Coturnix japonica: one gene and its partners. The protein of the gene in region 1 purifies or fractionates together with the protein of each later gene. This does not show direct contact. Links are inferred from orthologs where the notes say so. Each region holds a gene or a part of one and is shown in the gene's direction. Other genes may lie near its edges. The genes, in order: KLC1, KIF5B, CLSTN1 and KIF5C.

Evidence for each region.
Region 2: the proteins of KLC1 (region 1) and KIF5B purify together in Homo sapiens (co-immunoprecipitation; 11 studies listed by BioGRID and IntAct, counting the BioPlex papers as one, with this or other methods). This does not show direct contact. The link is inferred for Coturnix japonica from reciprocal best matches to the Homo sapiens genes KLC1 and KIF5B.
Region 3: the proteins of KLC1 (region 1) and CLSTN1 purify together in Homo sapiens (co-immunoprecipitation; 3 studies listed by BioGRID and IntAct, with this or other methods). This does not show direct contact. The link is inferred for Coturnix japonica from reciprocal best matches to the Homo sapiens genes KLC1 and CLSTN1.
Region 4: the proteins of KLC1 (region 1) and KIF5C purify together in Homo sapiens (co-immunoprecipitation; 4 studies listed by BioGRID and IntAct, counting the BioPlex papers as one, with this or other methods). This does not show direct contact. The link is inferred for Coturnix japonica from reciprocal best matches to the Homo sapiens genes KLC1 and KIF5C.

What each region holds. Positions count from the first base shown.
Region 1 is NC_029520.1:45,862,597-45,867,467, forward strand, and holds the start of KLC1 (kinesin light chain 1), read left to right. Parts: upstream 1-1,707; 5' UTR 1,708-1,956; intron 1,957-4,871. UniProt on the Homo sapiens protein: Kinesin is a microtubule-associated force-producing protein that may play a role in organelle transport. The light chain may function in coupling of cargo to the heavy chain or in the modulation of its ATPase activity.
Region 2 is NC_029517.1:12,865,256-12,869,415, forward strand, and holds part of KIF5B (kinesin-1 heavy chain), read left to right. Parts: intron 1-1,290; coding exon 1,291-1,378; intron 1,379-2,590; coding exon 2,591-2,664; intron 2,665-3,233; coding exon 3,234-3,338; intron 3,339-3,677; coding exon 3,678-3,726; intron 3,727-4,014; coding exon 4,015-4,070; intron 4,071-4,160. UniProt on the Homo sapiens protein: Microtubule-dependent motor required for normal distribution of mitochondria and lysosomes. Can induce formation of neurite-like membrane protrusions in non-neuronal cells in a ZFYVE27-dependent manner.
Region 3 is NC_029536.1:2,977,221-2,981,380, reverse strand, and holds part of CLSTN1 (calsyntenin-1), read left to right. Parts: coding exon 1-110; intron 111-841; coding exon 842-991; intron 992-1,084; coding exon 1,085-1,270; intron 1,271-1,587; coding exon 1,588-1,836; intron 1,837-2,387; coding exon 2,388-2,509; intron 2,510-4,027; coding exon 4,028-4,160. UniProt on the Homo sapiens protein: Postsynaptic adhesion molecule that binds to presynaptic neurexins to mediate both excitatory and inhibitory synapse formation.
Region 4 is NC_029522.1:31,111,756-31,115,915, reverse strand, and holds part of KIF5C (kinesin heavy chain), read left to right. Parts: coding exon 1-59; intron 60-2,999; coding exon 3,000-3,148; intron 3,149-4,160. UniProt on the Homo sapiens protein: Microtubule-associated force-producing protein that may play a role in organelle transport. Has ATPase activity. Involved in synaptic transmission. Mediates dendritic trafficking of mRNAs.

The sequences.
Region 1 (4,871 bases):
CATTGCAATAAGCAGCCTTGCTACACGACACAGCTTGTAGTGTGTGCTGCTTGTGTGGGAAACTGCAAGCATGCATATACATCATTAGGCAGCGTATTATGAATCAGGGTCAAAGCTGGAGTAGGTGCTTTGTTCAAGAGATACTCATTTCCCTGGGGTGAGCAGCTAATTGCAGGAAATCTTTGAAAGCAAATGTGTGATAGGAAGAAAGCAATGAATATTGTTTATTCAAAAGATAGGAGGGGTTCCTTTGAATCTGTTCTCTTGCATAATCATGTAATTAGGGCAAGTTCTATTTTTAATTAAATCTCTTGCATATTCATGAAAATTCTCTGAACTTGTGGACCAGCTGACATAACTCTTCATTTTAAAAACGTGTATAAAGGAATGGTTATTCATTTTTTGCCCTTTCTTATTACTTTCAGACACCTACTTCCCACCATTACACTCAGTTGGCCAGGCCACTGCCCAGACTTCCCTGTCAATACTACAGTGCCCTTTTCCAACCCCACAGGGACTCTCTGCTTGTGCATTCTGCAGCCCCATTTGTTTTGCTGGGCTTCTCTAACTACAGCACCAGTTGTGACTCCTTCTTCCATCTCCGCTTTAGAGTCCTGCCATTCTGTAGAGCCCATTGATGTTTTCTTTGAGGACAAACAGATGTCAGCACAGCTTTCCTTGTGTCTCTCAGAATTCACCACGTAGGTGAGGCCGCACACTCTGATTCACCGCTACATCTCCATATTTCTATAAGCTTATGATTCATATCTATATGTAATATGTACTGCAGGAGCTGCGCGGCGTTCAGATGATAATGCACCATAGTATTGTCTAGACATTAATAACACTTTATAGTTAGGCTGTCATCATTCCCCGATGACTCCCTACACGCATAGCAGTGCACTGTCATATTTAACTGTATTTTTCATCCTAGAACTCCCGTTTCTTCCACCATCATCACAGAATCACACAGAATCACAGAATGACCCGGATTGGAAGGGACCTCAAGGATCATGTAGTTCCAATCCCCCTGCCTGGCAGGGCCACCAAACATACACCTTTACTAGATCAGGTTGCTCAGGAGACCCCATAGATCCCCACAGAGACCCCATAGATCCCCATAGATCCCCCATAGATCAGGTTGCCCAGGGCCCCGTCCAACCTGGCCTTGAACACCTCCAAGGACGGGGCATCCACAACCTCCCTGGGCAGCCTGTTCCAGGGCCTAACCACTCTTCTAGTAAAGAACTTCCCCCTAACATCCAACCTAAATCTTCCCTCTTTTAACTTAAAACCATTTCCCCTAGTCCTGCTATTATCAGCCCTTTCCAAGAGTTCACTCCCCTCCTGGGAGTAAGTTCCCTTCAGGTACTGAAAGGCTGCAATGAGGTCACCCCGCAACCTTCTCTTCTCCAGGCTGAACAAACCCAACTCCCTCAGCCTGTCCTCATAGGGGAGGTGCTCCAGCCCCCTGAACATGTACCCAGTGGAGCACAGAGAAAACGGCCACCATTGTACTTTATGAAATGAAACGTGAAGCTACAAAGACACATTTCCTGCTCTCCCGCCGCAGGCCGGCAGCCATGACATCATACAGGGAGGGGAAGCGGCGGGAAAGGAGGGCGCGCGTGGGCTGCTGGGAGAGGGGAGGGCGGCCGCCATGTTGGGCGGGGCGGGCCGGGCGGAGCGCCGGGCGGGGCCGGGCGGGGCGCGGCGGTAGCGGCCGGGGCGGCGGCTGCGTGCAGCTGTCAGCGCCCGCTCCTCGGGGGCCGGGTCGGGCCCGTCGGCTCCTTACAGGTAAAGCCGAAGACACGGCGGTGCCCGCTGTCTTCCTTTCATCGAAATCCTTTTCCTTCCTTCCGCCCGTCGCTGACATCCTCCTCCGGCCTCCCCGGGCTGCGCGGCCCCCGCCGGCTCAGCGAGCGCTGCGCACATCCGAGCCTGCAGCACCGAGCGGTGAGCGGGGCACGGCGGGGCGGGGAGGGTCGGGGCTTTTCGGTTCCATCTTCGCCTTCCTCCTCCATCCCGGTTCTCAGACAACAAAAGGCTGCTCCCCGCTGACAGCTCCGCCGGTCGCGCTTTGTCCCCCCCGCGGGGCTGCGGCCGGCACCGCCCAGGGGGAGAGCGGGCCGGGCTGAGGGCAAGGCGTGAAATGGTGGAACGGAGGGAGGAAGAATGAAGGGAGGAAGGCGGGGACGGCGCTGATCGTGACCGAGCGGTGCAGGTCACCGTGATATGCCCCCTTCGGCATCCTTGTCTACAGTGAGGTAAATGGTGAGGGGAGAAATAACGCCGGTGCCTGACCGACCTCACTGGTACTGTCCTTTGGGCAGAGGTGAATTAGGAAGGTGCTTTATCCTTCTGGCTTGCTGCTGTTTTGGGTAGAGAGATGTCAGGTTGGTACAGCCGCACAGCGCTTGTGCGTAAGCACCGCGCCTCCTCCCTGTGTGCTGAGCTGAGCTGAGCTGAGAGAAGCCCGTTGTGATGGCCAGGGCAGCAGCACCCAGATGGACACACACTGCTGGGAGCCTGCTCCATCCATCAGGTGCTTCTGCGCTTTGTTTTTTTTATCCCCCATTAAAGATTTCCTTTGTTATATCCTCCGTCCTCATTGTAACAGCAGCATTCGAGTACAGAATCAGAAAGCAAAAGGAGCTGGGGGGGGGGGGGGGGAGGAAAAAAAGTGAAAGTTTGTTCTTATGCTCCACTTTAAACAGCAGAACGATGTCATTGGTAATAGAAGTTATTTTTTAGAGTCTTACATAAAAACGCCTGGGACGATGATACTTAAAATGTTCTTTTCGTGTTGCAAATGGCAGAAGGTTTGGTAACAATTAGTCTGGGAAGTAATTGTCTGTTTCACTTCCCCTTTTGTGTTTGTACTTCTCTGAAATAGGAAACATGCCCAAAGGGTGTGCATTGGAAAGCTGGAAAGGAACCTTCGAGATTTACACAGCATTTCAATATACAAAAATCAAATGAAATCAAATATCAGATCAAATCCAAACCTTCTTGAATTTGGGATTGATTTCAAACCGCTCTGGGAAATGACATGATTTTAATTGATTCTGAATTCCAAAGCTTCAGCGAAACGTGATAGAGGATATTATAACCCCGGGATTATAGAGACAATTGAAAGAAACACATTCAGCGTTTAGTGGAAGCAGAGAGGAAACTGATCTCTGTGCTGGTTCGGAGCAGGCCTCATGTTTTGAAAGGTGTTGCTGTGATTTAATTTTCTTTGTGGTTTAAGACAATATTTTTGTGACATATCCATGGATGTAGAAAACTCCAGTTCCAATTAGGTAAGAACTTAATGCCGAACCAGGTGGCAAAGTGCAGGGAACTGAAATGGTGAGTTCCCGAAGTCACACAACAATGCGGTATCACTTCTGCATCGTGTTGCAGTGAAGTTTGGCAGCATTTCTGTTCCTGATGGGTGGTGATGGAAGTGGGCACCTCCATTAATCTCACATTCTGACAGCAGTGTAAGTCTGGGCTCCGTTCATTTTCGAATCAAAGAAAACACGCTATTGTAAGTAATTTTAAAAGAAAATAAAGTTGTCCCCTGAATGTATATTATAAAGTTGCTTTGTTTGCTGCTCACTGCATTATTGGGATGTACCAACGATGCCTTATGAATGGAAACTAATCTTAAAAAGCCTTTGCTCAACAAAAGAATAGTGCACAGAATAGTGAATGAAATTTGTGGCAGTCTACTAAATGTTTTGACATACAATAATCAAAATGCTGTTCGAGGGAGGCGTAAGGGGTATAAAAGCAATTGCTGCTTGCTCTGTTGATGAAGAACGTACCATAACGAAGTCAGAAAGCCCTCACTTGTGTGCTACCCATAGGCTGTGTACATTTAAACACAGGGAGAGATCAGCGTATCTACGTGTGCATAAAGACATACCTACCTATGTCCCTTAATTAGGAGCCTGGGGAAATGCTGAACCCTCATGCTCTGTGCTGAGTCCACATAATGCAGCTTCTGTTTCTCTTGAGACATGTGGGCTGTGCAGATACTCTTTCATTTCTTACTCTGCTCGGTATCTCTGGAAGACGTGTAAGTAGATTTATGCTGGTATTAGCAGCTTCTTTCCAGATGCTTAGCTCATAATTATTTTAAGACTCAATGAAGTGTACAAATAACTTTTAAAGTACTGTTATTCTGTGATTCTGTTTTCATAAAGGGAGTGAAAAAATGAGTATGGGTACATTCATGACGATTCAATATGTATTTTTGCATTTAATGTTGAACCGTGTGGTAGCAAACAAAGATGAAGGTGAGAGTTTATTTAAAGGAACCTTTTGCTGTCCGTGTGCCTCAGGGTACAGTTCAGCATGACACATCTGCCATAAAGCTGGGATCTGACCAATTCCATCATCATTGCAATAGAAGTGGCTACATAGAAGCGTTTATTGTAGCATAATCTGCATAATATTTTATACTTTCAAAGTATTTTTTCATCTATGAAAACACAGTATTTACCTTGACCAAAGTTTAGGGAAAAAACACATATTTCTTTTAGATGTTAACTGTTGTTTTCCTTAAGACAAAATCATTGGGCATGCAGTGTATGATGTATATACTTCCTGGTAGCCAAGTACTAGTGGAAGGCAAACGGCTTATTTTAAAAGAAGTATTTTGGCCTCAAAATAGAGGCAGTTATATCCTGAGTCATGCTCAGCTTGAGGTAGTGAGGCTCTCCCGGTCGTTTCTTTAGTGGAACGTTTTCTGTCTAATAGCAGGTTGTAGAAATAAATGTGGTTCCTTTGAAAGAATACTTACCCAGTCACCACAGTCAATAAACACCAGACCAGGAAGCTTGAACTCATGCTGAGATGCATTTGTTGCTTTGACTTAA
Region 2 (4,160 bases), on another chromosome or scaffold:
TCATTTTCTTACCTTGGGGATACTTGGATTTGCTTGTTTGTCTTCTGGTGTACACAGAGATCCGAGTTCCACCTGTAGAGCATACAAGTTTGAGGTGTATTTAAAGCTAGAATGAGTAAATGAGAAAGCCTGTAATTTCCCTACTGTGAAACAAATGTTCAGACTTCAGCACCTTAGGGATAGTTTCTGCCTACTGAGTCTTGTGGTTTCTTGAGCATATTTACACAGTGAACTGTGTAATTATTTTCTTTTTTCCAAGAGGGAGCTCATCTATCTGAATTTCAAGCCCTTTAAGCAGAGTGATATGAGTTGGCTCCGAAAAGCTTTGTTTGGTGTTACGCTAGATGTTATTAAAAGGCAAATGGAAGGTCAGGCTGGGAAAGGGAATGTGGTGAGTGGGTGGGTAAAAGATGGAAGCTAGACTTGTTCTGCTGCCAGGAAGGCCGTCCCACAGGATCCTTGGGGGAGGGGAAGGATGATAATGAATTAAACATAGGCCAAATGGATCATTGAACGGTTACAGTAAGTTCAGTGGTAGGAATTGACTTAAGGCCCTTGGAAACCTCAGCTGTCTGCAAAGATATTAATAAACTCTGAAAGTTCTAGGAAATTTTCAGCTTAGTAAGATGAACTTAATAACTCATCTTTATGGACTGTCAGCTTGTTACAGCTGTTACCAAATCCCCAGTTCTTTTCATAAAGCTGTGTCAGAGCTTCCTCTTTCAGTGTTTTCCTAAAGAAATCTTTGGAAGGTTCCCTTCCTGCAAAGTGGCCTTTTCCTTCTGTTTACAGAGCCTCATTGTAAGGATATCATGCATGGGGAAATGTTCCTTGTGCTGACTGTAGGTGACCTGGATGTTTCCTTTGGTTTGAGATTGTTAACAAATACTATGAAGGCATATTGTGTGTGATGTGATACGAGTTGTTTTTAATAATTTGGGTTTACCAAAGCAGTGGAGAAGAATGAAGTTTTCTCAGAGGTATAGACACTAAGCACTGGTTTACAGTGTAAGTAGAGTAGAGGTCGTGTAGCAGTGTAGTTATGGCAAATAGTTTGGGTTGCACTTAAAAGCCAAACATACTGAATTCAAGGCCTTATTTGTAAGCAAACATGTGAAGATTTAGACACATACATAAGCCGATTTCCTCACTGCGTCCTTCAAGTACTTAAAATAAAACACGAGATCGGACCGAGACCATGTAGGCTGCTTCTAAGCTGTGTGAACAAACACCTTTCAGTTGTGCTTCCCAGGTAGTCTTTTTTTAACAGCCTTTCTTTCTATTTTGCAGTCCAAGCCATATATATTTGACCGTGTATTCCAGTCAAACACATCCCAGGAGCAAGTATACAATGACTGTGCTAAAAAGATTGTCAAAGGTAAGGTGGGATGAACTCTTTGTTTTTGGGAAACACCTTATTTGTGTGGGTTTTTATGTTGAAATCTGGTACCTTCTGTTGCTCCCGTTTACCTTCTGAATGTTTAATAACAGTCATCGTGGTTCAGAGTATAAAATCATCCTCTAGTTGAGGTGATATGATGTCAATACTGAGCCCACTTCTCCAGTTGTTTGCAGCATTTGATGATAATTACCTGTTAGTTTGATTTTTATTTTTTATTTTCAGATCTTGCTAGAGGTTAAAACAATTGGCCTTAAATTAATAAAGGATAGGCTTCTGTCTGTTTGAAAACAACTCGTATGAGTAGTTTTTTTTAATTGGTGTCAGAAAACAGTTATTTTTGTTTGGAGGAATGTAAGGTGAAACTTGGGAAACTTCATGTTTGTTTTGTTTTAACTTTGCAATTATGAGTTACCTGATTTCAGTGCTTATCAGAGTGTACTCTCTCTAAACTTGAACTGTCTAATGGCTTTGTGGCTTCTGGGGCTCAAGTCTTCTAATAGAGAAGGTTATACTACAATGAAGTACCTTATTAAGGAGTTAGGTAACTCCCTCAAAATAAAATTGATTCATTTCTTAAGTAGATCAGTACAAGTTCCAATTGACACAGCTTTAAAACAACTGTATCAAAGCCTTCTTAGGAGTGCGTAAACTATCAGCTGTTAGAGGCAAGACCAGATGAGTGAAGTGTTGAAGGCCCTTACCCTTCAACCTGAAACTCAGAGTTGAGTTGTTCATGGTTTAAAACATAAGCTTATGGCCAAGTGATAAGATGCTGGAAACTTTTAGCTTAGCTCATTCTCTTAATAATCAGATACTCCAGCTTTACTGTGAAGGCAGCAAATAATGTACTGCATAATACAATTTGTTTAAATGGTCAAAGGCTGTCTGTACAATGTGGCAGTTGTATTCATTTACTTCTTATTACCAACTCTCAAGTTGTGTTTTGCTGGCTGAAGGAGCTGCTTCTAATACAGCTTCTGGAAATGCAATCTGTAGTGACTGCATTAAAAGTGCTAAGGGAGAACACTGCTGCCTTCCTCTCCCAGCACCAAGTATTGTAGCGCTTACTTTTCAGTCACTGAATGGCTCAACTTGCTGAACATTTTAGGAATTGCTCACATTCTATTTTATTTGACTTTTGTTTAGGAGAAGGGAATCAGTCCTAATGAAAATATTTTTTTCCTCTAGATGTACTTGAGGGATACAATGGTACAATATTTGCTTACGGGCAGACATCATCTGGAAAGACGCACACTATGGAAGTAAGGCAACTTAAAATTATTTTCTTCTAATATTGTTTTCATCTCTTTTCACCACTGTGGTGTTATATTCCTAGAGATGAGATATTGGCTTGTTTTTATGAAATCATAGAATGGTTGAGGTTGGAAACTATCTTTTAAGATCAGTAGTTCCAACTACTCTGCAGTGGGGATGGAAGTCTTTCATTCGATTAAGTTGCCTAAAGTCCCCATCCACCCTAAATTTGAACAGTTCCAGAAATGAAGCATCTGCATCTTTCATTTTCTTTCCTATTACAAACTTTGGATACCTAAAATATTTTTCATATGTAAGAATGGCAGTTACTGTATTTATTCAGCTATCAAAAGCAGGATTGTTCATGGTAGATTTCTCATCTTTGTGTGTGACGTTTTTGAGGCTGTTCTTTTTGTTTCTAGCAACTTCTGGCCCTAAGTGGATGGCTAAGAGCTTCCTTTGCAGATAAACATAAGTGCATTTTACCCACCAACACTTCAGAGCTATCTTGTTTCACTTTTTATTCTGCCTTCAAATACTTTGTGTATTAATGTTTTTTCATTCCCTTTTCTAAAAGGGGAAGCTTCACGACCCAGATGGAATGGGAATTATTCCAAGAATAGTACAAGATATCTTTAATTATATTTACTCTATGGATGAGAATCTTGAGTTTCATATTAAGGTAATGGTTTCTTTATTTCCTATATTTAATCTATATTAAAATTGGAAGTAGTTTGTTGCGGAATGGATGTTTCATATCTGTTACGAATGCTTGTGAATTGGAAAATATAAAGACAAGTTATTTCAGAAACTGGCTCTACTCAAAGAATAATTGCATTAACACTTTAATCTTGTTTCCATTAAACATTGATGGTAGATAACTTGTGTCAATGCTGTGTATTTTAGTTTGTCCTCGTGGTTGTCAACTAGATATGGCAGTACATGAGAGGTTGTGGTTATTGTACTGAGTCCTTCTGAAGTACATTTTTGTGTTCTAATGCCATTTGTTTCACACTTCTAGGTGTCGTATTTTGAAATATACTTGGATAAAATAAGGGACCTTTTGGATGGTAAGTTTCTTATTTGCTTTGGGCATAGGAAGTAAACTGCTTGGTAGAGAGATTTAAAGAACAAAAGCTTTAGGATGATACTGAGACATATGTGTTATGTTAATAAGTAGCCCATCTCTGATATAGATGCAGCAAAATGAGACCACACGTAGCTAATGTATATAATGCAACTGTAGCTGCAGTAGCGGTTGTTTGATGTATGTTCCATTTTTACTTGGATCTGCTGTAAATGTCTCATTCTCTGAAGGAATCATATGTACCTCAGCTTTAGAACTTTTTCTCTTCCAGTTTCAAAGACCAATCTTTCTGTTCATGAAGACAAAAATAGAGTTCCCTATGTAAAGGTTAGTGTCACTCTGATACTGTTTTGATCTTTTGCTTCCACTGTGCTCCATTTTCTTCTGGCTCATTGCTGTTTTATTTTGATATTACTT
Region 3 (4,160 bases), on another chromosome or scaffold:
TAACATCCTGAAAGTGGAAGCGGTGGATGCAGATTGTTCACCTCAGTTCAGCCAGATCTGCAGCTATGAAATCGTAACTCCGGATGTTCCTTTCGCTATTGACAAAGACGGTAAGAATGTGATGCAAGACAGAGTTGGAATTACTGTCATTCACTGCCTTAGGCATAGGGCTTCAAATTGATCAGCATAAAACTGCAGCAACCCTGCTTTAACTCTTTCCTGTGATGCTTTCAAAAATAGGATTCTGTTAGTGTGTTTTTTCCATGTGAGATGTTTACATGTGGCTCTGAAGTTTACAGTGTATTGGGGTTGAAGTGTAGTGTAGTGTTTTGTTTTGTTTAGGTCATTTCCATTCAGTCTGTGATCTGTGGACTATTTCCAGGAGTCCAGGGGACCTGGCCAAGCAAAACAAGACAGTTTTTATCTGACTTTAGGTTGAATTTTTGAGGTATTCACATTTCTGAAGGTCTGCAGATGAAACAGATATCTGATAAAGTTTATTTACCAGTTACCACTTGTGAATAGTTTAATTTGGAGTAATATAATACTGTTAAATACTATATATATGTATATTATATAATGCAGTATAGTATACTGTGATGAGCCTGATAAGTATATACTTGTTGTTCTGTATATTTATACTTATCTTCTGTATATATATGATTTTTAAATATCTGGACCTTATGTCTAGCACTGAAAGCACAGGTAGTGAAAGTCTATTGTGTGTTGCTGCTAAAGTCTTGTTACCAGTATAAAGTACATAGGGTGGGTACCTGTATGGATTTAACACAGCAGTGACCCTGAAATATTCATTTCTTAATATCACCTTTTTTTTTTCCAGGTTATATAAAAAACACAGAAAAGTTAAGCTATGGCAAAGAGCACCAGTATAAACTGACAGTAACTGCATATGACTGTGGGAAGAAGAGAGCTGCTGAAGATGTATTGGTTAAAATTAGTATTAAGCCTACATGCAAGCCTGGCTGGCAAGGTTAGTTTGAGCTCCTTCCTATCTGCTTTGGCAGTGCCTTCAGTTAAACAGGAGGGATTTTTTTTAATGTTTTTTCTTTGAATAATTATACAGGTTGGAGCAAAAGAATAGAATATGAACCTGGTACTGGTTCTTTAGCACTCTTCCCAAGTATGCGTTTGGACACATGTGATGAGCCAATAACCTCAATTCAGGCAACAGTTGAGCTAGAAACCAATCATATTGGGAAAGGCTGCGATAGAGACACCTATTCTGAGAAATCCATTCACAGACTCTGTGGTAAGGATGCTTTTGTTCTGATAAAGTGCTTATTATGGGCTGAATATTATGTTAGAAGATGTGCAGTTTTATTAGTCGATGATGTGAGAGGGGATGCTTGGGTTCACTGTGGTGTTCTCATGCAGATCTCTTCAGCTGGTAATATTAGATATGTTTAATGTTAATGCCACATTATTCAATAGGAGATTTGCCTGATATGTGATGATAACACATAATACTGGCAGTAAAACTAATGCTCATTAAAAGCTGTTAGATATGAAGCTTGCTGTGATCTTTCTAGTTACTACCTTGTTTTCATGTGAGCATTTTTATTGTAGGTGCAGCTTCTGGCACAGCTGAATTGCTTCCTTCTCCAAGTAGTGCTGCGAACTGGACGATAGGACTTCCTACTGATAATGGTCATGACAGTGACCAAGTCTTTGAGTTTAATGGCACACAGGCTGTGAAGATTCCAGATGGTGTTGTCACAGTCAATATGAAAGAACCCTTCATGATTTCAGTGTGGATGAGACATGGCCCTGGAACCAAAGAGAAAGAGACAATTCTTTGCAATTCAGACAAGACAGGTTTGTCGATACACGAAGTATGAACAATCTAATTTGTTTTGGTTTTATATGCTGTGATAGCATCTGTGGGAACTTTAAGTGTTTTCTATAGATTTTTCTAGGTTTTTCTTGGAAGTGAAAGGAAGTGAACTGCAAAGCTGTTCTTTACTGTATTTACCTGTAGAGGTGTGCACTTAAATTACCTAGCTTCAGCTGAAATGAGTTAGGCTTGTTTATCTGACTTTATTTATGTTACGCATTTCATTTCATCATAGTAGGTGTGTTATTCTGGCAAAGAAATCTAATTTTTATATCTCCACAAATAGCCTTATTCTCAGTACTGCCAAAAATCCTTAAGATACACGTATCAGGCTTAGTGACAGCATTGACTGCAGTATATATTTTTTTCTAGATGGAGATACTGTCTCTCTTAACATATCTGGTTTGCTTGTGCGTTTTTTTTATCAATTACTGTCCATTTAAATAGGAATATTCAGAAATGGTGAATTTTATTTTTTTTTTTTTGAGTGCCTAATACTTAGAGAATGACAATACTTGAAACTCTTGTGCAGATATGAATCGACACCACTACACACTGTATGTGCACAACTGCCGCCTTGTTTTCCTCTTCCGGCAAGATCCTTCAGAGGGAAAGACATACAAGCCTGCAGAATTCCACTGGAAGCTAAACCAAGTAAGTTTGGAATGACTGGTAAAATGATAGAATACAGTGAAATACACTGGAGCCTGAACTCTCTAATGAGGTAATTATTAAGAAGTACTATTTACAACTCCAGACTCCTGATACTGACTTCTGTAGAACCCAGTGGTATTTACTTTGTGATGAGTGTCAGGGATAGATGCCTGTTCAACTTGATTTTAACTTGCTACTTGCTTTAGTGTTTTAATTAAATCCAATGGGATGCTCATGAAATAAAGTCCGAGTCATTGTCCTGAAAGGCAGCGAAGTGTGGATTTATGTATGAAAGTAAAATGCCAAACTTCAGCTGTTGTGTTGGTTATCTTCACTAAATACACTGTAACACAATGAATATGAAAACAGGAGGCATATGCATTCCAGTTTGTTTATAACAAAATTACTTCTGAGCATGCAGCGCTGTTGCTGATCAAAGTGTTTAATGGGATAAAAGAAGAACGTCTTAATACTTCCTCACACTGGAATAAAATCTGTGACCTTTTACACATTGCCAGAAGTAGGTACATATATTGTAAATAGAGATGAGCCGATTTGCATAATTTGGTATTTACTGCACAGAAATAGAGCAATACTCCTCTTAGGGATGCAGGTACTTTCCCCTGTTTGGGATAAGAGCTGTCTGTGTTCTTTCTGTTTGTCTAATCTTAGTTTTTTTACATTTGAAAGCAGGTGCTATAATGCCAAGTCTTTCCTTTGGCATTACTACAGTCTGCAGAGTTTATTTCTGTGAATTAATGATGATTACAATAGTGAAGAATCAGACAAAAGGGACTAAATATTTGATGTGCTTTTCCAGCCCTCTGGGTCTCACCAGAACTGACATGAGTTACGTTCTGAGATGGTTTGAAATATCCTGCTATGTTCTGTACAGAGCAGTGTATATTGTTTTAATGGTGAATGTCTACATGTGGATGTTTGCAAAATGTGCATCAGATCCANATATATATATATATATATATCACAGAATCACAGGGGTTAGGAGAGACTTCCAGAAGTCAACTAGTCCACTTTCTTACTAAAGCAGGTTTCTTTACAGACTGCCCCTCTGCTGCTGTCTGTCACACAGCAACAAAATGGAAAAAAAATATTGGCAGGAAGGCTCAACTATCATACCACTAATATCTGCCTCTGATGTTGTGGACCAACAAAATAAGGTAGGAGGCACTGCTTTTGGAGAAGCCCTCACAAATAAATATAAATATAAATATAAATATAAATATATTAAAATATTTTTTATTTAGATATAGATCCAGTAGGGAAAACTTAAAGGCTCTTGAATGAAATTTTCAGGTACTATTTGTAAATCTGTAAATGTTTTGAGGTGTCAGCTACCTGCTCTTATGCTAGAGCCACTACGAACTGAAACTTAATGTTGCAGCTGTGCATACAAAGAAGTTATAGATGTGTGTGTATATTCAGCTCGCAGAATATACTGTAATCCTTTTTTTTTTTTTTTTTAATATTAAAACAATTTTTCCTACTTCTTTTATTTAGGTTTGTGACAAGGAATGGCACCATTACGTCCTCAATGTTGAATTTCCTGCAGTAACACTTTATGTAGATGGTGTTTCATACGATCCTTTCCCAGTGACTGAAGATTATCCACTTCATCCTTCGAAAATAGAAA
Region 4 (4,160 bases), on another chromosome or scaffold:
TGTTCTCCTTCTATTTTCAATGAAGCAGAAACAAAGTCGACCCTGATGTTTGGACAGCGGTGAGTCTTACTTGGCATTAAGATAGATAACTCTCATTGGAGCTCTTCCATGTGTTCTGAGCCGGCTGTGGAGGTCATGATTTCTGAAGTGGTTAAAAAACCAGAACTGAATAACTTGAGCCTCTTTATTCTGCATGGTACCAGTAAAAGAAATGTTGGTGTTGGCCAACAGCTGCTCTGCTTTGGAAAGGATGAAGATTTCTTGTAGTTTTTTGAAGTTTTGTGGAGAAGTTAATGGTGTTGGGCAGTTTTCTGCTGGCTGTCTCACTGGAAAACGTTGGGTATTGCTCTGTTTGGTACTGCTGTTGTCACTTATAAGATGTATCTTCTCCTTGAATGGCATCTCAGTGATCATTGTGATTTTTTTGAACTGTTAATTTAGAAAACTGAAGAATGTGGATGCAGGGTAAATGCTGACAGTTTTGATGGGTTACTACGATGGCTTTACACGCTTAGAACATCAGTAATTATTTAGGAGCAAGCAAGGGTTAAAGAAACGTGGAAATGGTTGGAAGGAAGATTTCTCTTGTGTGTATATCATTGGCTGTAGTCATATGAAATTCAGTTGGAAAGGTTGCCAGAACAGGTCAGGCTCATTACATAGTTATTTTTATTGTAACTAAAGAGAACTCTGATATGTTGGAGTGTCATTTGCTTTATGTAGTGTGTATTTATTTATGTAATAGCAAAATGAAAACAATTCGAGCAACTTACGATTGCTTGAGAGATTATTTGTTGAGGAGTTTGTGCAATAATAGAATATATCTGGTCGGGAAATAGGTTGTGTCTTCCACTTGGCATAAGTTTGGCATTAAAATTAACACTGTTATGGAGCATTTTATATTGGAAATTAAAATCTTGTATAAAAGACAAATCTGGCAATCTTATATTAGTTCATCTCCCTGCTGTTAGTCTTTAAGGTGAGCTCTTCCTTACATTTTGTTGAAGGAAGATGAACTCTGCAGTTCATTCACATAAGAGCACATAAAATACAGGATGGGCCCTGAAGATGCAGTTGGTGTAGCCTCTCTTAAAGGACAGCTGTGGGGACTGAGGGGGATGCTGTAGGTTAAGGCTGGCAGACACTTTCTGCAGTGCTTTCCCCATCTGGCTCTTCCAGAAACAAATCATGTGCTAGAGGAGGAAGGTTTTCTCTTTCTAATCCATAGAAGTGCTCCTTGCTGAGGACTAGGATGTCATCTGAAAGAAGTGGAGAGAGGGCTGCATTCTTTGCGGGGCAGCTTGATTAGTGAGTCATGTGTTGGTCATTTTGTGGTTTGCTGCTTAGAAGCTCTAGAGTTGTGCTGAAGCAGAAGGTCCTGGGGAGCATTTAATTGGGAGGGAGGACACGCAAAGAGGAGGACTGCTGAGGTGGCAGACCTGCATAGGAGCACACCTACTGTATGTGCACAGTGTTGTTTGTCAGCACTTTGAACAGCACTATTGCTGTCTGTGGGGAATGGTTTCATTTCCAGGCCCTTTGGCTGCGGTATTCCATTTTTCTGATGTGGCAGGATTAAGGGCTGAGTAATGTTAAAGGAAAGGTGAGTGGCTCATGGTTGATTACCAGATCCTCCATTTTGCCAAGCAATAGAGAAATAGCACCATTAAAGTAAGTGCCAGGAGTAAAATCCATCTTCATAGACCCAGCTGCAAATTCATGGGCTCCTCTGTCAGCAATGAGTCAGTTTCTTCTTTTTTCTTCTTTTTTTTGGTGTTTTTATGTTGTTTTTAATTGTAGTTGTATGTGCTTCATCTATCAGCAGTGCAGTGCAGTCAGTGTATTTTATAGTGTGGCATTTTTTCCCCAGTGCGCTTCAGTGAGTAGAAATGTGAGCCATGCTTTTAGCAGAATATGAGACAATATGTTAAAGCCAAGCATTAGGTGTCTGCATCGTTCAGAAGAACAAGGTTATTTTAAATTCTTCTAAGGTAATTAAACTTCTGCATGTCACATAGTGCAAGTCACACTTTTTGGTGACCCTGCTTGTGACGGGGGGCTGAAACTAGGTGATCATTATGGTCCTTTTCAACCCAGGCCATTCTATTGTTCTGTGATTCTATGATAAGTCACCAGGGCACAGTTTGGGATATGATAAGCAGGGATGGGAGCATTTCCCTGCTGACAAAAGAAAGCTTCAGGATTTAAAGTGATTGGCCATATTTTTTTCACTCAGAGGGTGGTGACGCACTGTTCACAGGTTGCCCAAGGAGGCTGTGGATGCCCCATCCCTGCAGGCATTCAAGGCCAGGCTGGATGTGGCTCTGGGCAGCCTGGGCTGCTGGTTGGTGACCCTGCACACAGCAGGGGGTTGGAGCTGGATGAGCACTGTGGTGTTGTTCAGCCTGGGCCAGTCTAGGATTCTATGATATTTAGAAGGTGATTCAGAATCAAGAAGTGAAGCCATGGAGAAAACGATAAAAGATCACGTCTGGGACTCAGTAGTTTCACAATAGTGAAATGGTGAACCCAGAACTGCTTCTCTTAGAATAAATCTGCAGAGAAAGATCCGTGCCTGAGTGGAGGCAGAAAAATTCTATTGAGGCTTCGATGGAAAGACTGTGAGAGTGGTGAGGTGCTGGCACAGCTGCCCAGAGAGGCTGTGGATGCCCCGTCCATCCCTGGAGGTGTTCAAGGCCAGGTTGGATGGGGCCCTGGGCAGCCTGGGCTGGTATTCAGTGGGGAGGTTGGTGGCCCTGCCTGTGGTGGGGGGTTGGAGCTTCGTGATCCTTGAAGCCCCTTCCAACCCAACCATTCTGTGATTCTAGGTAATAACACTGCTGAGGTTTTGAGAGAAAATGGAACTGTGACACTGCATTGCAGGAAATGAACTGCAAATGTTTCATAGTTTCCCTTGACGTAATATAAAAATTTCCAAATCCCAGCCTTGCATTGAGATAGAAGTTACAGAGCAGCTGACACCTGTTTTTGTTATGCAGAGCAAAGACCATTAAGAACACAGTCTGTGTCAATGTTGAGCTCACTGCAGAACAGTGGAAGAAAAAGTATGAGAAAGAAAAAGAGAAAAACAAGAGTCTAAAGAATGTTATCCAGCATCTGGAGCTGGAACTGAACAGGTGGAGAAATGGTATGTATGGGAAAATAGGAATGGGGGCATTTCTGCAGATTTAAGTTATGTGTGTTAAACTCCAAAGTGCGCAGCCTGCTTAGCACCTTTGGCCACACCGCTGCCTGTTGCTGGCCACAGACTTGCCAGCATTAAGTGAGAACAAATATGTGATTTAATGATTAGCCACAAATGGCTTTGCACTTGTCAAGTCTGCTTTTGAATAACATGGATAAAATCTCTACTGTCTGTACTTAAAAGATAATCCCTGCCCCTTATGGCTGCAAAGCAGTGCTACTTTCTTTCACCTGCTGTGCTGTTTCCTTGCCTTTCACATCAGGTAGTTACCTAATGGCTGCTTTCTGCTTCTTCCTCTGGGGGGTTGGGCCACTTCAGGGATAAGGGATGTCTCCCTTATCCACATGGTAAAATTGCTATGGAGACAGTGAGTCTGTTGTGCGTGTTGAAGAGCACTGGGAATTGTTGGCACTTATATGTTCTGCATTTCATTCAGTGTTTGCTGAATGTGATAATAATTTCAATGATTTCCTTCCCATCCTGGGAAGGATCTTTAAGAAGAACCTGTGTACATACATCCTATATGCTGTTTAAACACAAAATGCTGCCTCTGTTGTTTTGTCTAAATATACAGAGCGCCTCTTCCCCTACATCTTTTCTCATTGGTGTTACCAAGCCATACATTAAATGCATTCCAATTATTATTGATTTCTTGTCTGACCTTCTGGAATAGCATCATTTGGAAGGATACTGTGCCAAAGGAGGCTCTTTCCAAATGAAACTATAGCAAAAGCAGTATCTTGAGTATAAAATAAAAGACCAATGCATAAATACTCCATTGACATAGCTTGTTCTGTACATTCAGAAAATAAAAATAACATTACAGCAGAAGGTGGCTGTGCCCTGTTCTCTCTGAAGGAGGACTTCTGTGCTCAATTAGGTTTGTGCCTTACAGTTAGAAGGATGTTGTCCTCCCGGTATCAAATTTATGCTCCCCTCCTCCTTTCACTTGTGG